Linked DNA regions of Sus scrofa. The protein of the gene in region 1 interacts with the protein of each later gene in a pairwise test. Links are inferred from orthologs where the notes say so. Each region holds a gene or a part of one and is shown in the gene's direction. Other genes may lie near its edges.

Region 1 (7,850 bases):
TCCAGCGTGGCCACTGCTGTGACTTAGGTTGTAACTATGGTTCGGATCTGATATCTGGCCTGGCAGCTCCATATGCCACTGGGCCCATGGGGGTGGGGTTGGGGTGGGGGAATAGAGACCTCCAGAACTCTCTAACTCCAGGCCTGGGGTCTACTTCCTCACACCACAGGTGGGGAACAAGGAGTTCCCATTGTGGCTCAGCAAAAACGAATCTGACTAAGAACCATGAGGACTCAGGTTCGATCCCTGGCCTTGCTCAGTGGGTTAAGGATCTGGCGTTGCTGTGAGCTGCTGTGGCTGTGGCATAGGCTGGTGGCTAAGACTTTCCATCTGCAGCAGGTGCGGCCCTAAAAAAAATAAAATTGAATAAAAAAAGGCACAGGTGGGGAATAGGCCCAGAAAGAGCCTCCCTCCTGTCATTCAGCACCTTCCCACCATCGTCAGGCAGTGGAATCAAGAAGAAGCCAACTGGCGGCCATCTGGGAAGTCCAGAGGGGATCCTGGGTGAGCTTGGAAGCTGGACAGATTGTCCTCCACCATCCTTCCAACACTCAAATCTTATGTGAACCTGGAGACCTTAGAAAAATTTCCAGAACCATCTAAGATGGGAGATAGAAAAATATAAGTCAGAAAAATAACTATTAGGTGAATTTAGACTCTTGTTTCACTTTTGTAACTTTTTGTTTTTGGTAAACACCTTTTCCAAAACAATAATACAACAGTGTTACAAGAAATTTAATTTGGACAGTAAGCCTACTGGGTTCAATTAGTATCTCTCTTTTCCAGATACAGAAATTAAGGCTCAGTGGAGTATCTGGAGCAGAAACAGCCAGCTAGTAAGTGACAGAGCCCAGCCCCACAGACTTTAAATTATGCTGACCCAGAATGTAGTCTCAGTAAGTCATGGCTATTATTATTTTCCAAGTTTCTATGATGAAAATGTACACTATCATTTTCATAATACAGCTCTGACTTTTCCTAATAAATGTTATTTTAAAAATAAACTGCCTGCTAGGTTAGAGGATTCCTGCCTCTCTCACAGGAACTAGATTTTTGTTGCATGTCAGCCTACTGCAGAATCTCAGGCCAGGCTCCCAGCTCTGGGTAGGAGGAAGCTATGTTGTAAATCCTGGTGCTTGGGTAAATGCCAGTTCACTCCCCAGTCTTGCTGAGGTGGGAGGCAGTCGAAGGAGCACCACAGGGCCCATGAGACCAGAGCCCCCTGCTTCCCCTGCTGTTGGTTCTTGTTTACCTTCAAGAGCAGAAGGAACAGGAGCAAGGTGACAGTGTAAGATTGCCAATCCCCTGACTATGGCTCCAGCCTCCCCAAACAGTTGGCCTAGCATGACCTCAAACTTTCTCATCTCATATATATCAGGCCTCAGAGAACTTTCTGGGAGAAGCTCAGTGGCAAGAGAGCTTTCAGTCACACCTTCCACTTGAACTGTTCCCCTGGCCATGGACCTGAACCACCTGTACCCTGGCTTATTTTTGCTTGCATGTTTTACTTAAGTGGGAGCTTCTAGAAAGAGCACAGATTCTGGAGGCAGAGAGTCTAGATTAGCATCGACTTTTGCTGCTTTCTACCTGTATGGTCTTGAACAAGTCACTTCACTTCTCTGAGCTTCAGTCTTCTCTGCTGTAAAGTTCATAATGCTGACAGTGGGCACTTGAAAGACACTCATTAATTGGTAGTTCCCCTCCTTCTCCAATTGGTGTGTAAAGAATGCCTCAAGGAGCCTGCTCTCTCCTAAATGCAGTAGATTAGAGTCAAATGGAAAATACTACGTGTGGTTGAGACATGCAGAAAAAGGGCTTTGGTAGCTGAGCCAAGGCATAGACTCTCAGAGTATCACAGGTGGAAGGTTGTGAGATAACGGTAGTTAAAAGCAGGAAATGTTTTGAAAGCTTACTCTGTATAGCTATTGTGACAGGCACTCTGCATACATTATTTCATTTAATTCTCACACAACCCTATAGGGGTGGGTATTCTCCCCATTTTACAGAAGAAATTAAGGTGAATAACTTGCCCCAGGACGCACAAGTCAGGGGCCTGGACTCCAAAGGCCAAAGTCCATGCTCTTAACTAAATCACCTTTTGTTGCTCTAATCCAATACCTTATTTTTTTCATGTGAGGCTCAGGAGGGGAAATGTCTCACCCAAAGTCACAAAAAGAAAAAAGTGTTTTATCCGAAGGCAGGGGGAATCTTACCTGAATTTTTACACAAAGGAAATAGAATCTGAGCGCCCCTTTAGGGCACCATTTGGTCAAGAAGTTAACAGAGGTTTTCAGATTTAAGAAACATTTATTAACTACTTGCATCATGTCAATTCATACTCCAAAGAACTCCCCCTTAGCACTGTACTGATCAGACGAGAAAACAGAGAAACGTAATTTCTCCCCAAATCAATTTAGCAAAACAACATTGTCGGGATTACAGCTATGGATCCAGCGACTTCTAATGGCTTCGTGAATCCAACCCCAGGCCCTCCACTTTCAGTGCCTTGGGGTGGTAACAAATAGACCCTCCGTTCCCCCAAACCCAGAGTCCGCGCAGAGCGGTGGATTCTGGGATTTGCATGTATCCCGCGAGGAGTTTAGACTCTGTGGGCCAATAGAATTCGAGTACAGAAGGCTGTACCCTCCTCCGCTGCCTGCTGGTTGCTCAGGACCCCACGTATTAGCCAATGAGAAGTGCACTGGTCCTGGTTGCCTGGGAAACCGCGTGACAACAAGATGGCGGCGCCGCGGGGGGCTCGGCCGACCTGCGTGGTGAGTTCCAGCCCCGGACCTTTCTGCCCGCAGAGCCCCCAACGCAGGCTGGGGCCCTAGCACAGAGAGCCTCGAGGACAAGCGAGCCCGGCGGATCAGCGGGCCCTCAGCGTTCTGGGAGCAGATTAGGCCCCCGCCTACTTTGGCAGCGCGTGGAGGGGGGAGGTGGCGACGCGGCTCCCTGGGCGGAGCTGGTGGTAGAAGTTGCTAGGTGAGCGCTTCCAGCTGGAGATTTGGGGAATGAAGGCGTGCAGCTGGCTGGTCTGTGTTGGCGCTGTAGAGCACAGAGGCCCGTGGAGGGACAAATTTGGGTCCCCAAAATAAAGAGGCGTAATACAAAGCCCAAATTTTAGCCGCCCCAAAGTGAAGGCAATAGTGGTGGCTCTGTCCTCAGGGTCCCCAGTCTGAGGGAAAAGACACAGCCCTGCGCTCAGGAGCCCCCAGGCTGATGGGAGGATACAGTTGTCATCCGTAGGGGTCCTCTATAATCCATGGGGAAATCGATCCGGAGTCAGTGTGTTGGGCTAGAGTGAGACTGGAAACTGGGAAGTCAGTTTGGGGCCATTGTGACAGTCCCAGAGAAGGGCAGTGAGAGCCCCACTCTAGGATGGCCAACAGTGGCCATGGAAAAAAAAGGAGCTATGTATGAGAGAAATGCAGAGTTTACCCTGCAGGGGTAGGATAGAATTAAGAGGGAAAAGAGTCAAATTTTTGCCTCTCATTAAGAAGGAGAACGTGGTGGAGTTCCTGTCGTGGCACAGCAGAAACGAACCCGACTAGGAACCATGAGGTTGTGGGTTCGATCCCTGGCTTCGCTCAGTGGGTTAAGGATCTGGCATTGCTATGAGCTGTGGTGTAGATTGCAGACGCGGCTGGGATCTGGCGTTGCTGTGGCCCTGGGGTAGGCCGGCAGCAACAGCTCGGGTTAGACCCCTACCTGCGAATCTCCATATGCCCCAGAGTGTGGCCCTAAAAGGACAAAAGCCAAAAAAAAAAAAAAAAAAAAAAGCAGGAGGAAGTGGGAGGAATTTATGTTGAGGGAAGATATGGGTTTGGCTTGGAGGCCAGGTCCCTTTTTTTTCCTGTGATAGCTTTATTGAGATATGTCACATACTATATACTTCACCCTTTTAAAATGTAAATTTCAGTTGTTTTTAGTATATTCATAGAATTGTGCAGCCATCACCACAGTCAATTTTAGAACATTTTCATCAGGAGTTCCCGTCGTGGCGCAGTGGTTAACGAATCCGACTAGGAACCATGAGGTTGCGGGTTCGGTCCCTGCCCTTGCTCAGTGGGTTAAGGATCGGCGTTGCCGTGAGCTGTGGTGTAGGTTGCAGATGCGGCTCGGATCCCACGTTGCTGTGGCTCTGGCGTAGGCCAGTGGCTACAGCTCCGATTCGACCCCTAGCCTGGGAACCTCCATATGCCGCAGGAGCGGCCCAAGAAATAGCAAAAAGACAAAAAAAAAAAAGAACATTTTCATCAGTTCCAAAGGAAACCCTATACTCTTCAGCAGTCCACACACACACATGCACACCCCACCTCTCCTTAGCACTTCCAACCCTAGGCAACCTCTAATCTATTTTGTGTCTATAGGTTTGTTCACTCTGGATCTTTAATATAAATGGAATCGTAACAATTAGTGGTCTTTTGTGATGGACTTCTTTCCCTTAGCATATGTTTTCAAGGTCCATTCATACTGTAGCATAGATTTCATCCCTTTTTCTTTTTTTCTTTTTTTTTTCTTTCCTTTTTCTAAAAGGGCCGCTCCCACGGCATATGGAGGTTTCCAGGCTAGGGGTCTAATCTGAGCTGTAGCCGTGCTGGCCTACGCCAGAGCCACAGCAACTCGGGATCCAAGCTGCGTCTGCAACCTATACCACAGCTCACAGCAACGCCGGATCCTTAACCCACTGAGTGAGGCCAGGGATCGAACCCGAAACCTCATGGTTCCTAGTCGAATTCGTTAACCACTGAGCCACGACGGGAACTCCTCATCCCTTTTTCATTGCCAGATAGTATTCCATTGCAAGGATATATCACATTTGTTCATTCATTGGTTGATGAACACTTGGGGTTGTTTCCAGCATTATGAATAATGCTACTTATTGAACTGATATACAAATTTTTGTGTGGATGTACGTTTTTATTTCTCTTGGGTATATACCTGGGGTGTGGAATTGCTGAGCCACAAGATAACTGTGTTTAACCTTTAGAGGAACTGCCAAACAGCAGCCGTGCCATTTTATATTCAAACAAAGTTTCCAGTTTCCCTGCTCATCCTTGCCAGTGTTGGTTAATATCTGTTTTTTTGACTAGTTTCTTTTGAGGGGTCATTATGGTGACTAGAATTTAGAGAAGAGAAAGATAATCAGGTCTGGTGAAAGTTCATGCAGGGCAGTCTCAGCCACTAAAGGCCCAGTGCCTGAGACTTGAGTGTGGTGATTGTGATGGGGGTTTCATGACTCGGAATACACTAAGGACCAGTGAATTATATACTTTAAAAGAGTTGGAATCCCTGCTGTGGTACAGTGGGTTAAGAATCCAACCATAGTGGCTCAGGATGTGGCCATTAAAAAAAAAAAAAGAGTTAAGTATGTGAATTATACTTCAATAAAGTTGGGGGTTTCTTGCATTTTTTATTTTTATTTTTTACCTTAAAGTATAGTTGATTTACAATATTGTGCCAATTACTAGTGTTTAGCAAAGTGACTCAGTTATACATGCATATCCCAGGAGATTGGGTATAGTTTCATGTGTTGTACAGTAAGACCTTGCTGTTTATCCATCTAAATGGAATAGTTTGCATCTACTAATACCACAATCCCTCTCCATCCCACTTCCTCCCCCCACCCCCTTGGCAACCACAAGTCTGTTCTCTATATCTGTGAGTCTGTTTGTTCTATAGATAGATTCATTTGTGCCTTATTTATTTATTTATTTATTTTTGCTTTTTTTAGGGCTGTCCCTGTGGCATATGGAATTTCCCAGACTAGGGGTCAAATCAGAGCTATAGCTGCTAGCCTACACCGCAGCCACAGCAACACCAGATCTGAGCTGTGTCTGCAACCTACACCATAGCTTAACGGCAATGCTGGGTCCTTTTGCCTACTGAGCAAGGCCAGGGATCCAACCCACATCCTCATGGATACTAGTCAGGCTCGTTACCGCTGAGCCAGAACAGAAGCTTCCTCTGCCGTATTATAGATTCCACATGTAAGTGTATCATGTATTTGTCCTCTTTCTGGTTTTACTTAGTGTGATAATCTCTCATTGCATTCTCATTACTGCAAATGACATTATTTTGTTCTTTTTTATGGCTAGGTAGTATTCCATTGTATATATGTACCACATCTTAATCCATTTGTCTGTTGATGGACTTTTGGTTTGTTTCCATGTCTTGGCTATCATGAATAGTGCTGCAGTGAACATAGGGGTGCAACATAGTTTTGTCCACATATATCCCCAGGAGTGGGATTTCTGGATCAATAAATCTGTTTTTTTTTTTTTTTTTTTTTGCCACACCCAAGGCATATGAAAGTTCCCTGGCCAGAGATCAAACCCACACTGCAGCTGTTACCTGCACCACAGCTATGGCAACACCAGATCCTTAACCTGCTGTTCCATAGGGGAACTTCCAATAAAGCTGTTTTTTAAACACATGGATTTCCCTGGTGGCTCAGTGGGTTAAGGATCTGGCATTGTCCCTCCTGTAGTATGAGTTCAGTTCCTGGCCTGGGAAATTCCATATGCCTCAGGTGTAGCCAGAAAAACAAAACAAAACAAAACAAAAAAACTGGGGGAAAAAAAAAGGAGTTAGCCAGTCAGGGGAAGGTTATAGGTGGGAGTAGGGAGACCTTTTTGTGGGGGCAGCTTCCAGGCCTGGCGAGATACGCGTGCAAAGATCTGGTGCACTTCAGGGCTGACAGTTCAGAGTGGCTCGAGGGTAGGGTGGGGTCCAGCGACACAGGCTGGGACCAGATGATCCATGTTAAGGAATTTTGAATTTTTTTTCCGTGGGTGTGAAGGAGCCACTGGGAGTATTTAGCAGGCAAGTGACATGTCAGCTTTGTGTTTAAGATCCCTCTAGAAGCGTGTGGAGACTGGCGAAGGGAACCACAGGGGCTGTCTTGCAGGTTCACATGAACCCTGAGATGGCAGGAACGAGGCAGGGCGGGGGCAGTTTGGGGAGGCTGGATGCTGGAGGACAGGGGTGAGGAAGCTCTGGGCCTGATCCTTGGCTGCACCTCTGGAGAAGGCGTGGGGCACGCGTCCCAAACTCTAGAATGAAGACGGGAAAGCTGCCTCCTGGCAGCCCAGGTGCCCTTGCTGGGCAAATTCAGAGGCAGGGTAGAGACCAGTGCCACGCATTTCCAAAGTGGAACAGAAGACTCCATTCAGGAGATCCTGCTGTGATGCAACAAGATCAATGTCTTGGGTGCCTGGGATGTTGGTTTGTTCCTCTATGGGTCACAGTGGGTTAAGAATCCAGCGTTGCAGCAGCTGCAGCTTGGGTGGTGACTGTGGCTTGGATCTGATCCATGGCTCGCGAATTCCATATGCTTCGGAGCAGCCAAAAAAGAAAAAAAAAAAAAAAAAAGAGAGAGAGAGAGAGAGACTTGATTCAGGCCCTGATAGAAATCCTTTGAGTCTAAGGTTTCTAGATATTAGCCACATAATATACCTAATTCACTGAAGAGAGCAGTGGCCTTTAACTGCATCCCCAATGTAACATTCATCTTTCCAGAAGGAAGAAGAAAGGAAGGGAAACCAGCATTTGTAAGTGCCTTCTGTGTGCCAATAACAGCCATGGTTCACATTTTAAAAAAAATTTTATTGGAATATAGTTGCTTTACAATGTTGTGCCAATTTCTTCTGTACAGCAAAGTGACGCAGTCCTATATATATGCCAAGTCCCCCTTGGCAACCACAAGTCTGTTCTCTATGTCTGACAAGTCAGTTTCAAGTACTCCCTTTGAGCGTGACACTGGCCTAGGTGCTTTATGTGTGTTAACACTACCTGGCTGGTCCTGTTTTCATTTCCCCTTTACAGTAGAGGAAACTGAGACCCAG
Region 2 (7,336 bases), on another chromosome or scaffold:
GCAGTATGGTAATTGAGGATACTTTAACTTATATAATAACCTATGTTATGCAAGAAATTTTCTAATGATTGTTTTACAGTTCCCATCCATTTTAAAGTACATTTAAAAATTTTTCTAAAGTAGGAGTTCCTGTTGTGGCACAGTGGTTAATGACTCCGACTAGGAACCATGAGGTTGCGGGTTTGCTCCCTGGCCTTGCTCAGTGGGTTAAGGATCCAGTGTTGCCATGAGCTGTGGTGTAGGTCGCAGACAAGGCTTGGATCCCATGTTACTATGGCTCTGGCGTAGGCTGGCGGCTACAGCTCCCATTGGACCCCTAGCCTGGGAACCTCCATATGCCACGAGAGCGGCCCAAGAAATGGAAAAAGACCAAAAAAAAATTTTTTTTTCTGAAGTAGAGAGATAGGAGTTCCCGTTGTGGCTCAGTGGTTAACGAATCCGACTAGGAACCATGAGGTTGCGGGTTCGATCCCTGCCCTTGCTCAGTGGGTTAAGGATCCATCATTGCCATGAGCTGTGGTGTAGGTCGCAGACAAGGCTCGGAACTCGAGTTGCTGTGGCTCTGGTGTAGGCTGGTGGCTACAGCTCCGATTAGACCCCTAGCAGGGAACCTCCATATGCCACAGGAGTGGCCCTAGAAAAGGCAAAAAGATAAAAAAATAAAAATAAAAAATGAAAAATAAAAAAATAAAGTAGATAAAGTGGCCTCAGATGGTGGCATTGGTTGTGATAAATGGAATTTGGTTTTAACCACCTAAGTCAGAAACAACATTTAAATAGTACAGCTTTCTAAATTTTTTTCTTGTAAGGAAAAAAATATCCCTTATAGGTCTGTTTTGCTGATATCTCCTGTTTGTATAGGAGTCTATTACATTGCTTGGCAATAATGATTCTTTATTGATCAAAGATTGTTGCAAAGTTTACTGAGCAGAGAGTATACTTAATGTGATTTTTAAAAGATAAATTAGAAAGATTAAAAGCAATCAAAGGGTGAGTTTCTGTGTGCTGTATAAGATGAAAGAAAATGAAAATAGAATAGTCATCAGAGTAGGCTGTTTAGATATGAGGGTTTGCTTGTGTTATTGCGTAGAATAGACTCAAGGAATAATCGTGTTAAAAGGAGAAGGAAATTAACCATCTCCTAGTCAAGTAGTTTCAAACTCTAAAAGGTGAAAGGAATTTCTGTTGTAGCACAGTGGAAACGAATCCAACTAGAAGCCATGAGGTTCAATCCCTGGCCTTGCTCAGTGGGTTAGTGTTGCTGTGGCTGTGGCGTAGGCCAGCAGTTGTAGCTCCAATTAGACTCCTAGCCTGGGAACTTCCATATGCCATGCATGCAGCCCAAAAAAGACAAAAGACAAAAATAATAATAATAATAAAAGGTGAAACCTCCTTGGAGATGCCAGAAGGTCTTGTGGGGTGGGGGCAGAGAGTGAAGCGGGTGCAGGAAGGAGAGGCTGATGTGTGCAGTTCCTGAACTCCTCCCCCCAACCTTCATCCAGAATAGTTCCACTTGTATCTGCTTAAATCTTAGAATTCTACTTAAAATTTTGCTTGTAAAAGAGAATCTGCTGCTAAAAGATGTGTACATCTCTGGTTTCATTCAGCTACTTGTTGTGCAGTTAAGGAAACCAAGAAACCCATAGTCAGTTCTTGGCAGACGTATTGGGAGAGTATTTAGCCAGTCAACAAACATCATATGCCTATTGGGAGCCTCTCTACATAGAATTTAACTATTGGTGCAGAGGAGTACCATAGTAAATCAAAGCAGAGTAATAGATATTTAATAGCCATTTACTTTGTGCAAGAAACGAAGTCCATTCCTAAGCCTAATGTATATTTACACTGGGTGTTAACAGGGGCATTGTTACATAGTTATTCTTTAAGGAGTCAATTAAATATGAAATAAATGAACATTTTGGGAGTTCCAGTCCTGACTCAGTGGTAACAAACCAGACTGGTATTCACGAGGACTTGGGTTCAATCCCGGTCTCACTCAGTAGATTAAGGATCTGGTATTGCTGTGAGCTGTGGTGTAGGTCGCAGACATGGCTCAGATCCCTAGTTGCTCTGTCTGTGGTATAGGCCAGCAGCTTTAGCTCTGATTCGACCCCTAGTCTGGGAACTTCCATATGCTATGGGTGCAGCCCTTAAAAAAAAAAAAAAAAAAAAAGAATAGAAATGAACATTTTGATTTTAGGGCCACTTGCGTTATGCCACCTGAAGTCACCTTCAGTTGTAAAAGAAGAGTAAGATGATTTTCCACTCACTATTTTGTGTAGATGTATGATACACATAGAGTACTATTACAGCCTTGGGAGAAAGATGCTCTGGGAATCCTTTGAGTTATTCATTTTCATTTTATCATACTATTTATGGAATTGCCTATAAGTATGTTATGACCACCTGACATAGTGAGAGGCAGGACTCCAAGGTGTAATTTGAGAAGGCAGGATAAGAAAATGAGGCAGTGTTAGTGATTCCCTTTGATGAGAATTAGAACAGTATCATGAGTGCTCTGAGTCTGCGGTGCCTGTTCATGTCCAGGACCTGCTGTGCTTGGGCAGAGGAAAAAAGTCCCTGTTGGTAAGGGAGAATGCAATAGTCTATGTCAGCAGCTACAAACCCACAGTCTGGGGGTTGAATATAACTTGTCAAGGGGTTTTATTTGGACCACATGGATTATAATTAAAAAAAAATTTTTTTTTTAAATTTTTTGGGAGTTGCCATTGTGGCTCCATAGTTAATGAATCCGACTAGTATCCATGAGAATATGGGTTTGATCCCTGGCCTCACTCCATGGGTTAAGGATCTGGTGTTGCCATGAGCTGTGGTGTAGGTCGAAGAGGTGGCTCGGATCCTGAGTTGCTGTGGCTGTGGCTGTGGCTGGCAACTTTAGCTCTGATTCTACCCCTAGCCTGGGAACTTTCATATGCCGTGGGTGCAGTCCTAAAAAGACAAAAAAAAAAAAAAAGAAAAAAGAAATATTGGGGCAGAGGATGCTCATTAAGGGAGGTATTATAAAGGAAGCCTCCAGCCTTCCACCCATATCGACGTTCTAGAATTCTGACCGCCACCCTGACTACCACTTTGACTACATAAAATTGAACCATCCTTCCCTGACCTGAGAGAAAAAACTCTATAGGTGCAGTCACTTCGACATTCTGAGGGAAATTTTCAACCTAGGATTCGATATTCAGCCAAATCACTTATCGTGTGTAAGGATACATTAAAGATGTTTCATCACAAGCAAGGTCTCAAAAATACTTCTATGCACGCCCCTGGCCTTGCCAGGAAGCTAATGAAAGTTGTGCTTCACCAAAACTAGAGAAAACAGAGTGAAGGATCTGGAGGCCAGAGGTGGAGGGAATCCCCCAGGACAGCTGGCAGCAGAGTTAGAAGGAAGCGGGTACAGGCTCAGAAGAGAGGGGTTTCCAGCGTGGCAGCAGCAAGGACAGGAAGGGCTTGGTCCTCTGATTGCTGTGGCCCCATGGAAAATAGAATGGAGAGGACTTTAAAGAGTTCGGAAGGTTGAATTAGCTACTGAGAAAACTAAATGAAAAAAGACAAAAACATGTCCCCTGTCTCCAGGGAAAACAAATCTCATTTGGGAGCAAAAAAAAAAAAAATGTAATCAAATACTACTTGATGAAGCAGTGACAAGAAGTATATAATTGTAAATCACAGACTAACTTAAATCTGGATGACTGAGAGCAGGAGAGGGAGTATGCAGCAGAGTTTGGATCTCATCTGTTAAACAGGAAACCAAGAGTTAATATTGAAACTTGATTCCAAATTAAATATATGCAATTAATATTCTTTCTCTAAAAATTTTAGTGGAAGAACGCAGTTTTGTTGAAAAGCACAGATGGCCATCGAATATGTACTTGAAGCAGCTTGCCGAATACAGGAAGTATATACACTCCCGGAAATGTCGTTGCTTAGTAATGTAACCTGGAAATCTCGTATGCATACACTTTTTCCTTTTACTATGAAGAATCGGATACTTCTGGGTTCCAGTAAAAGTCTTGTGGCAGAAACCAATGTGGGAGTTAAAAAAAAAATATCACATAGAGCTTCATGTGTTCTTAATTCTCTTTGAAAAAGCTACTGTTATGATCTTAAAAGGGAACAGAGTATATACTGTAGGCTAAAATTAAGCCCTTGAAGATGCCCTGTTGCTTTAGTGATATTAATACCCCTCCCAGTTAAGAAATATTTAATTTAAAGAAATCAAGTGGAATTAATACAGAAATTTCATCATGTTTGATTAACTGCTCGGTTAAAATAAGGGCCAATTGAAGACCCAGTGTGACTATTTCTATCATAAGAAATCTAGGAGAAGACTGATCAAGCTGAGATTTTAGAAATATAAGTCTGCCTGGGATTTTGAAAGTGAAATGGCCACTTCGTTCTAATCAGTGACAGTGTTTGAACCATCATGAAAAAAAAAAATCTAGCTTTTATATGGGCAACCGGACTGAGCCACCGTGTCGATCCTCTGGAATTCTGATTAGGCAAGAAATCTATATAGGGCTGGATTTATGGCCATGTAACCTGTGTGGTCACACAGGCCCCTTGCTCAGAAGGGCCCCATGCTTGGTTCAGTGCTTTGCGAGCTTAAAATTCTTAATAATATTTGAAGAGGGGCCCTGCATTTTCACTTTGTACTGGGCACTCCTGCCAGTTAAGTATATCTTCTAGCAGGGTATGTTTTCTTGTGCAAGCAAATGTTATTCTGTGTGAAAGCAGAAAGGAGGTGCTGACAGTAAGCAAAGAGAAGAAGGCTTGCTGAAGGAAGAGATACAGACTTTCCCATCCTTGGTGAAGTCTGTGCTTCCCAGGGCCTCCCTCCTCTGCCACCCTGACTGGCAAGTGACAAGTGCGTCCTGTTGGCTTAGCTGTAAAACGCTCATAGTTCTGGCTTTATCACAGGTGAATAGTTTCTTGATCATTCTCTAAGACTAGGATATTGGCAAAAGTGACTCACCAGTGTGACTTTGATATTCATTTACATAATCGCTCCTAGGAAAAGAGGCTTCCTGGAGAATTTGCATTCAGAGGCCTAAGAGTTTTGTTTTTGTTTTTTTTTCTTTTAATGTGTTTAGTAAGATTAAGATGCTAGTGGCTTGAATTGTGTGAATTCTTTCTGAGGACCGAAAGGTTGTTTGATGAGGAATAGCATGAGTCTTGTCCTTCAAGATAATGTAGTAAGTTAAAAGAAAGGATATAAATCCAGACTTCGTACATGTAGAAAAAATGTAGGCACTAGGATAGAAGACAGATCGTTTCTCCTGTATCATATGCCAACAGAAGTAATTATATCAGAAGCTCACAAGCTGAGAGATGAAAAACTAGATTACCATGTATTGTTAGTATCATTTTCACCTGTAATTAATAATACATTGGGATATGTTTTTCTTTTAATTTCCAATGACTTTAGAATACACATAATTTTTCTAGGTGTTCAACAGTTTGATTAAGCAGTTTTATACTATAGTATAAACATAATACTCTACACTTAGTCCTTGAATGTAACCAGCACCATCAGAGTAAAACAGTAAAAATCCTCTACAAATATCATCCAAGAAACCTGATTTCAATTGGATTGTACTAATGGAGATTACTGGAATGCCTTTTATGATTTTTGTATTTTACTCAGTTGAGTTAATCAACTATTGGCAGATCCCATTCGACAAGGATTAGCATTGGAAAAAATAAATACTGCAGTAGATTTCAAGAAATTCATTTATGTTTTAGACCTTTTAAAATACGGTGATAGTCTTGTGCTTTTCACAAGGATATTCTTACACCCACATTATTTACAGCACTTAATATTCTAAGTCAGTTACTTGTAACCTAGAAAATTGAAAAATAAAAGTTCTAAAGCAAAATATTTTCTTGAAAATAGTATTTAACATTTCAGTAGATCATAAATAGTCTTTGGGTTCTTGGTCCCAAGTGGAAGTTGGGTTTGGGAGCTGGTGCTCTGTGGTATGGAGCATGTAGTTTTTATTATGAAGGCGAGTGCCTCAAACACACGGGTATCACAGCTCTCCTGGGCTAGTCAATGCAGTAATCAAATTAGTTTTTAAACCTAGATTCTTCAATACCGTTGAATTAACTTAGTTTAAAGTTAACAAGGACATATTTTTAAAACCTTAAACACTATCTTGGAGAAATGAGTGTTCTTTTTGAGTTTTTCTAATTGAAAAATTATTTCTAGATGAATGTATGCTTTGTGCTGATCTCTGCTTCAGTATATTTACCACTCATTTTAATTAGAGTAATTACTGTATGGTAGAACTAAGGCCCTTTCTTTCTGGGCCAGGTTTTCACCTTATATAACCCTTTGTAGACTTCTGACTACTCTGTGTTTATACTGTAGGAGAGTAGGCTTATAATCTAGACGGTTCAGTAACATAGCTGAAATTCACCCTGTCTAAGCCAACATAGTGGCTTCATATTGGGCAGAAGAAGAAAAACTGAATTAGGTAAATTTGACTTCCCAGACAGCTGAACTTTTCAACTGTAATTCAAAAACTACACTACACTGATATAGTTATTTAGACACAAAAATGTCCTCAAGAGTATTTTATTTAATTTAAAGCATCTGTTGAATTCAATCTTTAATAATTTTGCAAAGATGGGTCTGTGTGTATTTTAATATAGCCTGACCTGAATTTATATGTTTTTAGTTTAGTATTTAACATTTTTGTAACAAATAAACCTTTTTTTTAAAACAAGTTTAATACAGTGTCATGTAATTATTTTACCTTGGATGTTGAATTGCTGAAGTAAATTTCGGAAAACTGCCTTGTATTTCTAAAGCATGATTGTGTTTCATGGCAAATTTCTGTTATGTGTAAAATACTTAGGATGTTGCTGATATGATAAATGTGTGAGATGTGATAAAAAAATTGATAACTACCTTTAACTGCTGGTAGCAAAATTTCTCGTAACAAAACAACTGCAATTATTTAGAAAAATGCTTTGATAATTATGTAACACAGAAGTGAACCCCTATAGGCTGGAGTATTGGCTGGGGTCAAGACTTTTGAGAAGGAAAAGCAACTCTACATGATAGAGGGTTAAGAATTTGAACTTGGGGAGTTCCTATTGTGGCTTAGTGGTAACAAATCTAACTAGTATCAGTGAAGATGGGGGTTTGATTTCTGGCCTCGCTCACTGAGTTAAGTGTCTGGCATTGCCATGAGCTGTGGTGTAGGTCACAGATGCCGCTCAGATCCCAAGTTGCTGTGGCTGTTCCAGTTGGACCCCTAGACTGGGAACTTCCATGTGCCACATGTGCAGCCCTAAAAAGCAAAAACAAACA
Region 3 (7,849 bases), on another chromosome or scaffold:
GGAGATTAGCTCTGTAGCTCCTGGCAGAAATAAGCAACGATTAACAACAGCTATCGCTTATGAGGGGCACCTGTCTACCGCCTACCACTGACGGTCCCGTTCAATCCACACGCCAACCTGAAGAGGCGGATACTTTCAGTACAGGATCGCCAGTACCGTGCAGCCGCCCTGGGGGTGGAGTCGGGATCTGTACCAAAGCCATGGGTCCAGAGCCTGCGCCGCCGCCGACTCGGCGCTGTATTTCTCCGAACCTGCCCGGAGAAGGGCTCAGGACGCGCTCCCCTGGGCAGGGCGGGCGGCGGCAACCCAACAGAAACACAGCTCAGGCCCGCAGGCCGCCGGGTCCCCCAAACCCAGCGCCGCGGCGCAGCGGCCGGGGGCCGGCGTCCTGGGATACGCGCTCCCACCTGGCCGGCGCAAAGACGTTCCGCCGCGTCCCGCGCAACCGGAAGTGGCCGGACCCGAGGCGGAGGGACCTGGCGGAGCGGAAGTCACTCCGTGAGGCAGTGGCGACGGCGGCGGCGAGAGGATGAACAACAAGTTCGACGCGTGAGTGCCGCGTGGCCGACCCCCGGGGCCCCTTCCCCCAACCGCTCCCCGCGCCCGCCCCCGCCGGGACCGCGGCAGGCGCAAACTGCGGCACCGGCTCCCCTCCCTCGCTGGGGCTGCGGGCTGGCCCGGCCTGCGCGGCCGGCGGGGAAAGGGGGTTTGGGGACGTGGGATGCCGGGGTGTCGGGGGGTCCCAGGGTCATACGGACCGAGGACGACGTGCGGGGCGGGGGGGGGGAGGAGGTGGCCGTGCCGCCCGGAAGGGGATTTTTGGACGCCCAGCGCGGCGGGTGCAGGTTGCCCGCGGCGTGGAGGGGCGGAGACCTCGGTGGTTTGGGTGTTTCCGCAGCCTGTCTCCCTTGGCTCTGAATCCAGCTTTCCGCACACACTCACGGTGGCCTAGCGAGGTCCCGTCTCCTGTCTGTGTTCTCACTTGCAAAGTGGGCACGGTAACAGAGCCCATGTGGGAGAGTTGCAAAGATGCGGTGAGGTAATGTGGCTGCCGCGCTCAGCGCAGTGGCTGCTCAGTTACGGAATTCTCCTCGTCTTGCTGAGACTCCTTCCTGCTTCCTTTCTCCTCCCCCTCCTTTCCCCGTCTTCCAACACACTCCAAACAAGGGCGCCTCAGTTTCTTGCCCAGCGAGTTCACTTGTTTTTACCCTTCCTTTGCAGCTCTGTGCATATCTCATACGATTTCTAGTTCCAGCATCAAATAATTTGGAGGCGCAGGAAGGAAATGCAGTTATTTTTGCATATTTTCCTCCAGCGATTGTTATCACGGGATAGATTATGTTCTTAGCTGTCTTTTAATCGGCTAGTAACTCTATCTTCTCTTCCCAAGACCTAGATTTCCAGTCCCAGACCCACCAGTCACCAGTTATTTGACGGCAGAAAAGTTACCCGGTTTCTGAGCCACTGTTACCCAAACCACATTAGTGGTTAGTGCCCTGTTGCCACACTGAATGTGATATGGATCAGATCACATCCAGCCGTGCTTAAGGTACTTTGTAAACTGACAGGGAGATATAAATGTAAACTGAAATTACTCTTAGTTGAGGTTGCCACTCACTGTTGCTGATGGGAAATTTTGAGTTTTTCCAGTACAGTGAGTGCTGGTGGATAATTCAGAGGTCCTGGATTCCAGCCCTCCTGGTAACTCTTCAGGCATGTTTCTTGGTTGCTGAGCGGACTCTTGCTGAAACAACATTCCTTTTTGATTTTTTTGGTTTTGGGGTTTATTTAAACAAACAAATGCTTGCTTGCTTGCTTGCTTGTTTAGGGCCATACCCCAGGCATAATGGAAGTTCCCAGGCTAGGGGTCAAATTGGAGCTGTAGCTGCCGGCCTCCACCACAGCCACAGCAATGTGGGACCCGAGCCATGTCCATGAGCTACATCACAGTTCACGGCAATGCCAGATTCTTAACTCACTGAGCAAGGCCAGGGATCGAACCTGTGTCCTCATGGATGCTAGTCAAATTCATTTCGGCTGAGCCACAACAGGCACTCCCCCACACTCTTTTTTGGATGGGACTTGAACCCAGCCAGAACTCAGAATGGGACTTGCATCCACAATCCCCAGCTTAGCGGGGGACTCAAACCCACTTTTATTGTCTTTTTAGGGCCACACCCATGGCATATGGAGGTTCCCAGGCTAGGGTTCAAATTGGAACTGTAGCTGCTGGCCTACACCACAGCCACAGCAACACCAGATCCGAGCCATGTCTGTGACCTACACCACAGTTCACAGGAAGGCCAGATCCATAACCCACTGAGTGAGGCCAGGAATTGAACCTGCATCCTCATGGATGCTAGTCAGATTCATTTCTGACGAGCAACAACAGGAACTCCTCAAACCCACTTTTAATTGAAACCACTCACCTGGTGTCAGGACATACTGAAGCTCAGGTCAAGAGGCAAAATGATAGACAAGGGTGATTTATTACCACCGGATGCTTGTGAGAGAGAAGCGGGCAGGCCAGGGAGTGCAGTCCCAAAGGAAAGAGGGCTCTGTTTTTATAATCAAAAGAAAAAGTGGGTCCTCATTTTTGGATAGATGTCAAGGATCACATCATTAAATCCTCCTCTGGCCCTCTGTGGTCTAACCAGAACTGTTCCCACCGTGGCTCAGCAGGTTACCAACCCAACTAGTATCCATGAGGATGCGGGTTGGATCCCTGGCCCTGCTCAGCAGGTTAAGGATCTGGTGTTGCTGTGAGCTGTGGTGTAGGTCACAGACGTAGCTCAGATCCCGAGTTGCTGTGGCTGTGACCTGCAGCTGCAGCTCCAATTTGATGCCTGGCCTGGGAACGTCCATATTCCACAGATGGGTCCCTAAAAAGCAAAAAAAAAAGAAGAAAAATGGCAATAACGGCTTCCACATGCGTTGCTACTTTTCGTATATTATTTCTGTGTCTGCTAACAACCCTCTAAAGCAGATTTTGTTAACCTCCTTTATAGATAAGGAAAACGAGACTCTCTGAGATTAAATAACTTGCCTGCAACAAGAAGGGCCATATGGTGGGATTCAAACTCAGGTTTGTTTAATGTTGGTTCAAGTACCTCTTGACGAAAACTAACTTTGATCGTTTTTAATTAGTTTTAGTTATTAGCTATTTGTATGCTGAGCCAGATTTTTAAAATATCTGTTTTCTAGCTCTGCAGGAAGCAAAACTGTCTTCCATTTAATTAGCACCTGAGAACAACACCCCTGCCCTTAGTTTTGTTTTTGTTGTTTTTGGTTTTTATGCGAAAGAGTGCAGTTTTTAGGCTACTGCCTTGTATTTGGCCTCTGCACCCTTCACCACATGGCTCCTAAGGATGTGTTCCAGTTTGCCAGAATCCTGATCCAGTGCCTGGATTGAGTACTGTAGTCTAATCCGGTGGGTTTAGATTAAAGATGAGCTCTAGGCTCCCTTTTTGTGAGACTTTCCAGCTTCGTAACCTAAATGCCCCCCCACCCCCAGTCCTGAGCTCCCACTGGCCTTGATCCTGTTCATATGCAGAACCCCAAGAAGCCTTCACTGTACTTCAGTCCCTAAGGTATTGAGCTGGGTTTTTAAATTTAGATGCCATATTTGATTTCGTACCTGTTCTTTCTCCATTAGCTTTGGCTCATCTTTTTCTTCCTTTTTAAACATTTTTTTGGCCTTGTTTGTCGCATGTGGGAGTTCCTGGGCCAGGCATTGAACCCCAGCCACAGTAGTGACAATGCTGAATCCTTAACCACTAGGCCACCGAGGAACTCCAAGCTTTGGCTCATTCTTAACTGTTGTCTGAACAACTTGTTTGATGCGCATCCTCTTCTGCCTTGTGCTGCTTTGATTTTAGAAGTCCATTCGGAGTTCCCATCGTGGCGCAGAGGTTAATGAATCCGACTAGGAACCATGAGGTTGCGGGTTCGGCCCCTGCCCTTGCTCAGTGGGTTAAGGATCTGGCGTTGCCGTGAGCTGTGGTGTGGGTTGCAGACGCGGCTCGGATCCCGAGTTGCTGTGGCTCTGGCGTAGGCCTGTGGCTACAGCTCCGATTCGACCCCTAGCCTGGGAACCTCCATATGCCGCGGGAGCGGCCCAAGAAATAGCAAAAAGACTAAATAAATAAATAAATAAATAATTAAAAAAAAAGAAGTCTATTCACTAAACATGTGTGATTTCTCCCACTGCCTGATGCTGGACGTGTAAAGATGGATTAGACCACGTTCCTACCTGCAGTGAATTGTCTAGTCAGAGTACGGGGGTATACCTGGTGAGCTCATTAGGTGCCACTCAGTCTGGACAGCCTTAGATACTAATTGCTGCCTGAGGCTGTGGAGCACTGATTTTTCCCTGTGGATTTTATCATTGCTCTCATCCAGCCTCAAGCTGGGAGGAATGGCCTCCGGAAGATAGGATGCAAATGACTTGCCCTAAGTATAGACTCGGTGTAGAGTGGTTGCTTAGCTCCCCTCTCAAGAAATAGCAGCATAAGATGAAGATCCATTGGGGTTTGCATTTACTATCTTAGGAATCGTAGGAGGGAGTTGGGAGATGGGGTCTAGAGAATCACAATAGCATTCTTTCTTGTCTGGCAAAATTGTTTTTCTTTCTTTTTTTTTCTGTTAATGGTGGTTTATCTCAAAAGCAATAAAAAGAAAGGAAGACACATGCTTTCCTTGTGACTGACAGAAGGCGAGATGCTAGGTGATGTGCCCTCCTCAGCCGGGGTGAAGAGGAGCGGACCCCAGCGGATATGGTGGGGGGTTGGGAGCTGAGAAGAGAGAAGTGGTTTGAGCCCCTGGGGTCCACCCTAAAGAAGAGAATTAGCTGTTTGGGGCCTAAGCAGTAGAAAAACTCATGAGATGTTTGCAATCAGGGGACCAAAAAAACTGGCCATGAGCATCGCTGGGACAAGTACAGGCATTTATGTGGGGATGCTCTGAAGAGGGGCTCCCAACTCAGAGAGATGGGGAAATATTTTCAGGACAGGGTGGCTTTTAGTCTGCGTCTTAGAGGACAGGTTAAGTGGGCAAGAGGAGCTGTCTGAGGAGAGACAGGTGACAGCATAGCAGGGTGAGGTCGGGACTGCAGGTGGTCAATAATCACTGGAGGTGTTCTCTGGTCTCTGATACACACCGTGTGCTTCTGAAGGTTGGGGACCTGCTTGCTGGACAGGCTCCTTCCGAGAAGGAGACCTGCCCAGCTCAAGTTTCATAAAGGGGAAGGGGTGTCGTGAGCACCATTAGGTAGGCCTCCCAGGAGGCAGGGAGGCTGCTCTCGGCCCTGGAGATGGCAGCATCACAAGCAGAACCCTCCTCCTTCCTCCCCACTCTGCCCATCTGCTCCCTGCCCTTCACCCCTACCGGCTTTCTCTGCCTTTGCGTGTTGTCTTTATTTTCTCAGGGCTTTTCTTATATGAGACTTAGATGAGTGCCTCAGCTCCTGAATCGGTGTGATCTTTCATGTCCTGGATGAACAATTGAGGGAGGAATCGACTCATAATTTTGAGCAAGACCCTGAGCCATTGGTTATTGGCCAGGCTGGGCTACCCTTTGGCCAGGAGCCCTTCATAGGCATGTCTTGGCCTGGGTAAGGATGGCAGTGGTCTCGGTGCGTGACCTCCAGAGTGTGTCCTACACCAAGGGCAGTGAAGTGGGCAGAGCAGACGTCCCAGCAGGCGCCCAGCTCATCCATTTGGACATTGGAGCACTTTTTTATGCAGTAGGCACTTGGGATTCGTGGGCAGACAGACAAAGGGCCGGGTACTTTGCACCAGACGCTTCTGCATCCCCGTGTGGCGATGCAGGCAAACCTGCTTTCACTGCCCTTCACAGATACTGCATTTTTTTTCAAAAATTGAAGGTTTATAGAAATCCCATGTTATTGGATGATCATTAGCATTTTTTATCGATAAAGGATTTTTTTAATTAAAATACGTCCTTTTTTTTTTTTTTTTTTTTTTTTTTTTTTTTTTGTCTTTTTGCCTCTTTTTGTCTGTTGTTGTTGTTGTTGCTGTTGTTGCTATTTCTTGGGCCGCTCCCGCGGCATATGGGGGTTCCCAGGCTAGGGGCTGAATCGGAGCTGTAGCCACCGGCCTACGCCAGAGCCACAGCAACGCGGGATCCGAGCCGCGTCTGCGACCTACACCACAGCTCACGGCAACGCCGGATCGTTAACCCACTGAGCAAGGGCAGGGACCGAACCCGCGACCTCATGGTTCCTAGTCGGATTCGTTAACCACTGCGCCACGACGGGAACTCCAAAATACGTCCTTTTTTTTAAAACATATTGTTTTATTGCGCTCTTATTAGACTGCAGTGTAGTGTAAACATACTGTGTGTACTGGGAAACCAAAAAAAATGCGACTTGATTTATTGTGATAATTTGCTTTATTGCAGTGACATGGAACCAAATCCACAATATCTCCGAGATATTCCCATATCTCAATTATAGTTTGACCGTTTCTAGCACATTTTCTTAGAATTGCCAAATTCGATTTGACTGGGTAGGGTCAAAATGGTGATTTCAGAGAAGATCCATGTAAGTTAATGATCCAGCTCTAAACTAAACAGCATTCATACTATCCTTGTGAATTCACCTTCCATTTATCTTTTGGTCTAAATCCAGTGAACTTGAGGTTCACTGAACGCCTTAGTATTTTGTTTTCGGGGGCGGCACGTTATGCTCAGAGACTGAGATTTTCTTTGCCAATAATTTAACACAGATTCACTGTGAGAATTACACAGTAGTTTCACAAGCCAAGTGTGCAGATGTGTACTATTAAACCGGTAAATAGCATAACATACTCCACACCAGCGATAGATTACTCATACTGTCATTTTAGCAAGAGGAGATGAATAAAGCCCAGATTTTGTTGAGGCAACCTTTGTGTGCATTGGTAATTGAATGAGACAGCTTGCCAACCAAGAGCTCAAGTCCAGCTGCCGGCTCCGAAATAAGTCCCTTGGTTGCTAGAGCACGAGCCTAGGAACCTAGAGCCCTGAGGTGATGGGCGGGCTGATCTCTGTGCGGCTGCCCAGACTGCTAAGGGAGTCACCTTTTCCTCAGCAGGAGTTAATGTCCCTTCTCTTCCCGAGCCTGCTGCAGGGTTTAACACCACTCCCTGCCAACCAGGGTAGCCTTGGCCACTGTGGGAGCAAGGCCTCAAGATCTTGAGAGAGCAGCATCCACAGAGAGTAGCTTTGCCCTGACGGGAAAGGTCCCCTCATCATAGTTCCTTAGGTCCTTCTTTATCTGTTTTTATTGATAAGCCCCAGCAGGGCCACTCAGCAAGTGAGCTACTAGCGCTTATCAACAACAGCAGATGAGATGACATTCTAACACACTTAATTCTTATGTCAAAGCAACTTCTGCAAAGAGTTTTTGTTCTTTGTCGTAAACAAGTGGATTAAAATATTTTCATTTCAGTTGCAAGCAGCTTTGAAATCATAGAAAACCGGCACACAGCACTGAGGATACTTTCTCTGCTCCTAAAACATGGCACCTAAAGTACATCTGACTACTTCGCGGGAGAGAAGACCTTCCTTCTTTCATTTCTTTTGCTTTTCATTCAGCATCTTCTTGTCCTATGTGCCGAAGATACCAGGATTAATAAGACACTGCCCTAAGAGCCCCTTCCATCTAGTAGGAAAAACAGATGTGGGAGGAATGGTGCCTTAGGCTGAGGGGTAGTGTTTGCACATAGCACAGATGTAGGACGGTAGGTCGCTTTGGAGGTAGGGGAAGGGAAAGAGGATGCCAGTTGGCAGGAGTCAGCTTCCGGAGGATCTTACATTCCATTGAACTTTACCCTGTATGGTGGGCATC
Region 4 (7,802 bases), on another chromosome or scaffold:
AAAGGTTTATAAGAAGTTAATGTTAACTAGAGGCAGTTTAGATTATATCTAAAGTTAATATGCAGCATTAAATATTAAGGATCATTTATTATACAATTTCATGTCATCATGCTCAAAGCCTATTCATTTTAAGAAAAAGGATTGCTTACTACTAGTCAGAGACTGATAGAGGCATCTAAATTAACAGAATGTCTAAAATTACAAGGCCTGTTTAAAAAAAAATCTTAGGCAGGGGACACAGCCAATGAAAGAAAGAAAAGAAAAATCCTAGACAGGGTAGCAGTGATATTTTTGAGGGATCGACTGATCATAGCAAATGTAATTAGTTTGAACCATAGTTGAACAATGCCCAGCAAAACAATGACTTTGGTTATCTAGAAAACCTAAATAAAATACATGATAAAAATGATGTGATGTTTTTATTATGCATTCTATTACATTATTTAACGTCTTTTTACCGTGAGTTAAAATCTATAGACTAGTAATAAAGCAGCCTCAGGAAAATATGTAGAGAAAAGATAATGACTATTTTTACATTCTTAAATGATGACCAATAATTTAGGCTTATAAATAATTGTTACCATGATATTACACTGGGCTATTAGTTATGTATTAACTAGATAATGAGATCAAGTAGAATAGTATCTCAATACCATTTCCCACTTAAAAAAATCTTTTTATTCTCTTTTCTTTAAATGCAAACACAAATATGGTAGTAATGTAACAAATGTACATTTGTAGATTAATATAGTATAAATTTTCTTCTCTGTACATTTCAGATTGGCCAAAACAAAACCATAGACACACATAGATTAAAAACTTAATCACCAAGTCTTTGACATGGTGGAATCTAATAGTGATGTTAAGCAAGGACACATGAATATGCCACAAAACACATGCAACAAAATACATACAAAATGAGAGAAATTAAGCTCTGAAGAATAGGTGCATATATATGCACCATAGAAGTACTAGGATGATTACCAAAAGTGAAGAGTGTTTTGATCAAGAGAGTTAATAAAATGGGAGCTATCATTAAAGTTTGAGAATATCAGTGGTTTTCAGTCCCATATAGAGATTGAAGTGTTTTTAAATTTTAAATCTGTTATCTAGCAGCATTGGGAAAATAATACATCTATATTATCTCCTCAAAGATATTGAGATACTACTTTTTTTTTTTTTAGGATGGCACCCACAGCATATGGAGATTCCCAGGCCAGGGGTCCACCTGGAGCTACAGCTGCCGGCTTACACCACAGCCATAGCAACATCAGATCCAAGCCGAGTCTGCAACCTACACCACAGCTCACAGCACGGCCAGATCCTTAACCCACTGAGTGGGGCCAGGGATGGAACTGACAACCTCATGGTTCCTAGTCGGTTTCACTTCCACTGCGCCACAACAGGAACTCCCATCAGATACTACTTTTAACTAACAGAAGATATCACTGGGATTGCCTATAATTACTTTGGATAGTTTAATTAAGAGCACATAGTCTCTGCAAATAGAAACCTCTTTATCCAATTTGTTTTATTTTATTTTTTAGAACTCTATTACTTTAAACCTACTAGAGCTAAGCTGACTGGACCAAAGCTTTCATTAATCATCTCTGACATCCAGGTAAACCAAAGCATATGAGCAGGAAATGGTTTTGAGCTCTTATTACAGTCTCAATTATGTGTTAGTCAACTCAAGCAACCATTATGTACTCAATAATAGGTATGACACAGCTCTGGACATCAGCAGCACTAAAGCAGGCAGGCACAGGTAGCCTGATTATACTGATTTTTCTGGTGTTAACATTCTTAAGAAGCATGGGAAATAGTAATGATATAATATCTTCCTCATTAAAATCTTGCAGTAGCACTCTGCTAGATTTCTTCTGTTTTTTTATATGGATAACCAGACTGTGCAGAGTAAGACTGTCTTCAGAAATGACAGCACAAGCAAAAAAAAGAAAAAAAGAAAGAAATGACAGCACAGTATCTTAGCGGGGAAGAAAACGTCGGATGTCACTCTGGGGATAAACCTCTAATTGCCAGTGATTATAACAATATTTTCCTAAACATTAAAGCCTCTATGGAGGGTAGCTAGTTATAAAAACATTGTCTCGAAACTTTTAAAATTGCATTGGTGTACATGATAATGTAACAACATAAGCAAAAGAAAAATTTAAAACATTGTTTAAAGAACAGTAAGGGAAGCAGCTGATCCTTACGAAGGCACGAGGTTGCTTATTATGAAGCATTTATAGAGTCTGATGCATTTTCAAAGCTGGTTACAATCATTACCACAGCATACCCTTGTGAGGTAAGTGTATTACCATCTGTGGTTCATAAATGAAAAAGCTGAGGCACTGAATGATTAAGTCACTTGCCTAAGGAGAATGAGTCAACGTCAAGAGTCATAGTTGACCCAGCCTAACGACTCCTGACGGTCAGTCCAGGGCTTAGTCAGCGGGGGCCGGAGTGGCTTCCCTGGCTGGCACCTGGACTTGGGCTATTTCCCTTCACGTCGAAGCAGAACAGTGCAATCGAGAGGACAGAACTTCAGATAATTTTTACTTCCACGCAAGATTTAGCCCTGAGATTTTAATCTCAGGAGTTGGAACACGAAAAGCTGTCGGGTGCACTCCCCCTCCCCCGAACTGTGGCAAGTGGTTACTGTGGGCGGTTCCGCCACTCCCTTTCGCAGTGATGGCAATGAGTGACCACCAGCGTTAGCGGAGCCGGGGGACGGGGGAGGGTTGATTGCTTAACGATTTTCCCTCGCCGCCTCTTTTTGGAACTAAGAGAAAATGGTGGGAAGTCAAAAGAAAATTAAATAAACACACAGGCAACTTGTCCTAGGACCTCAACTAAGCAAATGAAGCCTTATTGTGCGTGTTGAGCCTACAGTTCCCAACCTTCCGAGGAAGATGGGAGGACAGGGCGACAAAGGGCACAGGAGGCATGCCTGGCAGTGAGTGCGACAGCAACTACCCAGGCGGAAGAGCAGAGGACTGAAAGCCACCCTCCAGCACGCGAGTGTCCGCTGCGCCGAGAACCGCGCACGGTACCCACCGGCCACGTGACCAGTCTTTTTTTTTTTTTTTTTTTTAAACTTCCTAGCCTAAAAAAAAGAGACAGGGAGAGCGAGCCACCGAGAGAGCGACTCCACTTCCCAGAAGCCTCTTGTTAAACACGCAGCTGCAGTCTTGCGCAGGCGCCGCCAGGGCCAAACGGACACGTCCGTCACGTGAACAGTAGCCGGCCAATCCGGTTTGAATCTCATTTTTTTCCTCTCACCCCCTCCCTTCAGGAGCGGTTGTGCGATCAGATCGATCTAAGATGGCGACTGTGGAACCGGTGAGTATTGCCTTTGGCCCCCACCCCCACCGGTCCCCGCGCTCCGTCTCCTTTCGGACTGAAGGATCCCGCGGGACGGCGTTCCCAGCGCGCACGCTACCCCTTGCCGCCCCCTCCCCCTCTTCTTTGGCCTGACCTCCCTGCGGACAATTGGGGGCGCCCCGGAGGCTGGCCGCCACGGCGTGTAGAGCACACGTTCTGGTGGGGGCCCGCGAGCTAGGGGAGAGATGTGGGGGAGGGGCGGCGCGGCTCCCCCTGTGGAGCCGCAAGGTGTCTATAAGGGTGGTGCGTGATCCGGCCTCTGGGCGAGGTGTGTGGGAATCGTGCCTTTGCGATGGGAAGGCGCGGGCCCGGCTCCGAACGAGCGCCAGGATTCGCAGGGACGGTGGGCGGCGAGCCGGCCTGGAATGAGATGGAGGAGGGAGCCTCGGAGCAGCCTTTCCCTCTCTCCCTCCCGAGCTCTGGCTCAGGGGCTTGGGTTCCGGGCGCGCGCCGGGATTTCTTAGACCGGTGGGCCAGGGAGCCGGTGAGCGCGCGGTGCCACGGGGTGGGTTGGGCGGGAGTGGTGCCGCGGCACGCGCGGAGAAGGTTCTTCCTCGCCGAGGGGAGCCGAGAGGGGCGAGCGCATGTTACTCCAGCATGTCCGAGAGTTGTCGGGGTTGGCGACCCGGGAGGCGAGAAAGGTTTCGGGGTGGGGAGGAGAACCCTTGGTGGCGCGGTAAAGCTCTGAGAGTAGGGTGAAGGGTGCTGGTGGTTGGAAGGGGGATCACATTGTCCTCGCCCCTCCATGCTTGAGCCTGGGCTGTCATGGAGGAGGGAAGGGGGAGGAGCGAGGCCTGCTGATAGCTGCTGGGGCTGGTCGGCTTGCCGGCCGGACCTGCGGCATTTCACACGCGCCTGTCTTCCATTCATTCATCCTTTCCGCGCTGTGCGCACGCCTCAGAGAGTGCGAATGGGTGTAGATCCATCTGTTCTTCCGCGGCTTTATCCTCTGGAAGAGTTCTCAGACACTGTTTAACTTAACTTTTAAAGTTAGGTTTCTGTTTGATTTTTTTTCTTTATCCGTTCTCCTGGCTTTCTTCCCAGTTCAGGCACCATCTTAAACTTATTTTAAGCAGGCTGATCCCAGAGCACAAAGTTGATAGTTACCGCCCAAAGGAGAGAGTATGTTTGTCATAGTTTGGGTTTGCCGGCACTGACTCACGGAAACTTCTAGGCCTGTGTTGCCGTTTTAGGAATGTCACATACAAGTGATTCTGTTTTAGAGGTGTGTAGCCAGAAAACGTTTGATACTCTGGAACTGTACTAGACCTTGGTTGCCCGATAATTTTGTGAATCTTTAATGGTAGTTCGTGATTTTGATGATGGCGTCCCAATTTGCTTTGACTTTTCTTTGAAGACTTTTATAATTAAAAAAAAAAACTAGTTATAAAAAGATCTATAGGATACAAAAATGCTTATTTTTCAGTTACATTGATGTTAATTATCCTTTCCTTGTTGCCCGAATTTAAGGCAGTTTTTCTGCTTGGTCATTTGTACTTATATTTATTATTTATTCATTTGTTTATTTATTTATTTTTGAAAATTGTATGTATGGCCGCACTCGAGGCATATGGAAGTTCCCAGGCCAGGGGTTGAATCCGAGCCACAGCTGGACCTAAGATGCAGTTGCGGCTACGCCTACGCTGGATCCTTTAACCGGGATCCTTTAACCCACTGTTTCGGGCTGGGCATTGAACCTGCATCTCCGCAGCAATCCCAGCCACTGCATTGGGATTCTTAACCTACTTTGTCACAAGTGGGAACTCCCTTGTATTTTTATTGGTACCGATTTTTATTTATATTCCTGAAAATTAGATGGACTACAAAACTCTTAAGTTGCTGGTACAGTTAACTGGTTTTTAGAACATTAATGTTAAATAGATAAAAGATATATTTGTAAAATTTTAGTTAAGTCCCTTTTAATGAGTTGTGACATCTATTTCTAACTGGACGAACTCTCCTACCTATTGTACCAGCTTCAATAAAAAGCATTGCAGCTGGTAATAGGGGCAAGGCTAAAACCTCTAAACAATAAAACAATAATGTATTCTGTGCAGTTTCAGTAACATTTAGGTAATTTGGGTTTTGCAAAGCTATGCTGTTTTGGTTCAACAGCAGAGAACAGAACTACAAAGTGTTGAAGAACTGTTTTGAGTCAGTAAATATTTATGGCCCCCTGTATGTTTAGAACCTTGTACCAAGTGTTCTTTAGGATACAAAGTTATACAAAATGTGATTATATACCTTGTTCAATGTAAACCTCTAGGAGCTTAATTTCCAGTGATCTTGTGAATGATACAGTATAGTAGTCCTTCTAGTAATGACCCCTGGGAGATTTGAATACTGAATTCAAATGTGGGGAGTGAGGAACTTAAAAACCTAGTGTTTGAATAAAATAGAAAGCCAGTTTGAAACTATAGTATTTTTAGGATTCTTGTAAAATAATTTTAAGTGTTCATTTTTAGTGAAAATGCAAAATTTTAGTACTTTTTAATGCATCCTTGTCCACAGGTTAGTCCTTTAGAATTCTATTTTTGGACGGTTTTAAATAGTGAGTTTTGTTTAATTTAATTTATTTACTTATTTTGACTGCGCCTACAGCATGTGGAATCTCCTGGGCCAGGGATCAAATCTGAGCCATGGCAGCAAACCAGGCCACAGCACTGGATCCTTAACCCCCTGCACCACAAAACAACTGAGATTTTTTTTTTTCAAGCAGCTGATTAGTGTTTGTTGCAATCGGTATCCCTGTAGAAGTCTACAGAAAACATATTTGTTCATTGCTAATGGAGTTAGCTTGTGACTTTCCTTACTTTTTGCTGGACATAATCATAAGCACCTAAGAGTCAGGTTTTTTCCTGCTTGTCCCACCTTTGTAGGCATTCAGGGAATTTTTATCGATGGAAATTATGTTAAATATCATTTTCAACTTATATTGTGTGATTCTCAAGTGTCTGTGAGATCAGTTAAATGGCTTACATGAAATGTAAAAAAATGATACAAATGAATTTATTTATGAAATAGTAATCAACTCATAGACATAGAAAACAAATTTGGATTACCAAAGGGGGAAGGAAGGGAGGAGGGGTAAATTAGGAGTTTGGGATTAGCAGGTAACACTACTATATATAAAATAGATAAACAACGAGGAACTGCTCTGTAGCACAGAGAACTATACTCAATATCTTGTAATAGCCTGTAACGAGAAAGAATCTGGAAAGTAATAAATGCACACATATATAAAACTGAATTGCTTTGTTATACACCTGAAACTAATACAGCATTGTAAATCAACTCCTTTTTTTTTTTTGCTTTTCTTTTTTTTTGCTTTTTAGGGCTGCACTCACAGCATATGAAGGTTCCTAGGCTAGGGGTCTAATCAGAGTTACAGCCACAGCAATGCCAGATCCAAGCTTGTCTGTCCAAGCTCGCGGCAACACTGTATCCTTAACCCACTGAGCAAGGCCAGGGGTTGAATCCACAACCTCATGCTTCCTAGTTGAATTTGTTTCCACAGCGCCATGATGGGAACTCCTCGACTACTTTCAAAAAAAAAATTTTTTTTTTTTTTTAAAGGGCCTCACTTGCAGCATATAAAGGTTGCCAGGCTATGGATGGAATCAGACAGAGCTGTAGCCACCGGCCTACTCCACAGCCACAGCAGCACCCGAGCCACGTCTGCAACCTACACCACAGCTCACGGCAGCACCAGATCCTTAACCACTGAGTGAAGTTAGGGATTGAACCCGAATCCTCATGGATCCTAGTTGGGTTTGTTAACCACTGAGCCACAATGGGAACTCTGTAAATCACCTACGTCAATTTTTAAAAAAGCAACACACACACACAAGAAGTGGTTTGCAGATAGTAAATGTGTTGAGAAGTTTGATCGGCAATTTAAAGGAAGTGCTGTACTTCTAAACAGGTAATATGGCAAGTTTTTTTTTTTTTTTTTTTTTCCTCTCTTTTAGGACCTCACCTGCAGCATATGGAAGTTCCCAGGCTAGAGGTTGAATCAGAGCTATAGTTGATGGCCTACACCACAGCCATAGCAATTTGGGATCTGAGCCGCATCTGCAACCTACACCACAGCTCATGGCAATGCCAAATCCTTAACCCCCTGAGCCGGGCCAGGGGTCAAACCTGCATTCTCATGGATCCTAGTGGGTGGGGCTCGTTAACTGCTGAGCCACGAAGGGGACTCCCATAATATGTCAAAATTTTGAACATTGGGATAAACAATATTCTCCTGTTATTCTTTTGGCATTTGAATGTGGTTAGGTTAAAATTAGATTTTGTGGGTAGATCAAAGTTAGACTTAATATTAGTTGGTGAAGATGGCAGGCCAACTTGCCTCCTTTGGGTCATGGTTTTTAATAGCTTTTATCTTTATGTTGCATTCTTCATTATTG

The links.
Region 2: the proteins of UBXN11 (region 1) and RHOBTB3 interact in binary tests that used the Homo sapiens proteins (3 or more experiments, as listed by UniProt). The two-hybrid records come from large-scale screens. The link is inferred for Sus scrofa from reciprocal best matches to the Homo sapiens genes UBXN11 and RHOBTB3.
Region 3: the proteins of UBXN11 (region 1) and EIF4E2 interact in binary tests that used the Homo sapiens proteins (3 or more experiments, as listed by UniProt). The two-hybrid records come from large-scale screens. The link is inferred for Sus scrofa from reciprocal best matches to the Homo sapiens genes UBXN11 and EIF4E2.
Region 4: the proteins of UBXN11 (region 1) and EIF4E interact in binary tests that used the Homo sapiens proteins (3 or more experiments, as listed by UniProt). The link is inferred for Sus scrofa from reciprocal best matches to the Homo sapiens genes UBXN11 and EIF4E.

The regions. Positions count from the first base shown.
Region 1 is NC_010448.4:83,709,316-83,717,165, reverse strand, and holds the start of UBXN11 (UBX domain-containing protein 11), read left to right. Parts: upstream 1-2,650; 5' UTR 2,651-2,774; intron 2,775-2,783; exon of another isoform or gene 2,784-2,985; intron 2,986-7,535; exon of another isoform or gene 7,536-7,556; intron 7,557-7,850. UniProt on the Homo sapiens protein: May be involved in the reorganization of actin cytoskeleton mediated by RND1, RND2 and RND3. Promotes RHOA activation mediated by GNA12 and GNA13.
Region 2 is NC_010444.4:102,388,389-102,395,724, forward strand, and holds the end of RHOBTB3 (rho-related BTB domain-containing protein 3), read left to right. Parts: intron 1-3,837; coding exon 3,838-3,953; 3' UTR 3,954-6,746; downstream 6,747-7,336. UniProt on the Homo sapiens protein: Rab9-regulated ATPase required for endosome to Golgi transport. Involved in transport vesicle docking at the Golgi complex, possibly by participating in release M6PRBP1/TIP47 from vesicles to permit their efficient docking and fusion at the Golgi.
Region 3 is NC_010457.5:133,059,787-133,067,635, forward strand, and holds the start of EIF4E2 (eukaryotic translation initiation factor 4E type 2), read left to right. Parts: upstream 1-1,413; 5' UTR 1,414-1,549; intron 1,550-3,008; 5' UTR 3,009-3,065; coding exon 3,066-3,085; intron 3,086-7,849. UniProt on the Homo sapiens protein: Recognizes and binds the 7-methylguanosine-containing mRNA cap during an early step in the initiation. Acts as a repressor of translation initiation.
Region 4 is NC_010450.4:121,406,410-121,414,211, forward strand, and holds the start of EIF4E (eukaryotic translation initiation factor 4E), read left to right. Parts: upstream 1-3,576; 5' UTR 3,577-3,682; coding exon 3,683-3,874; intron 3,875-7,802. UniProt on the Homo sapiens protein: Acts in the cytoplasm to initiate and regulate protein synthesis and is required in the nucleus for export of a subset of mRNAs from the nucleus to the cytoplasm which promotes processes such as RNA capping, processing and splicing.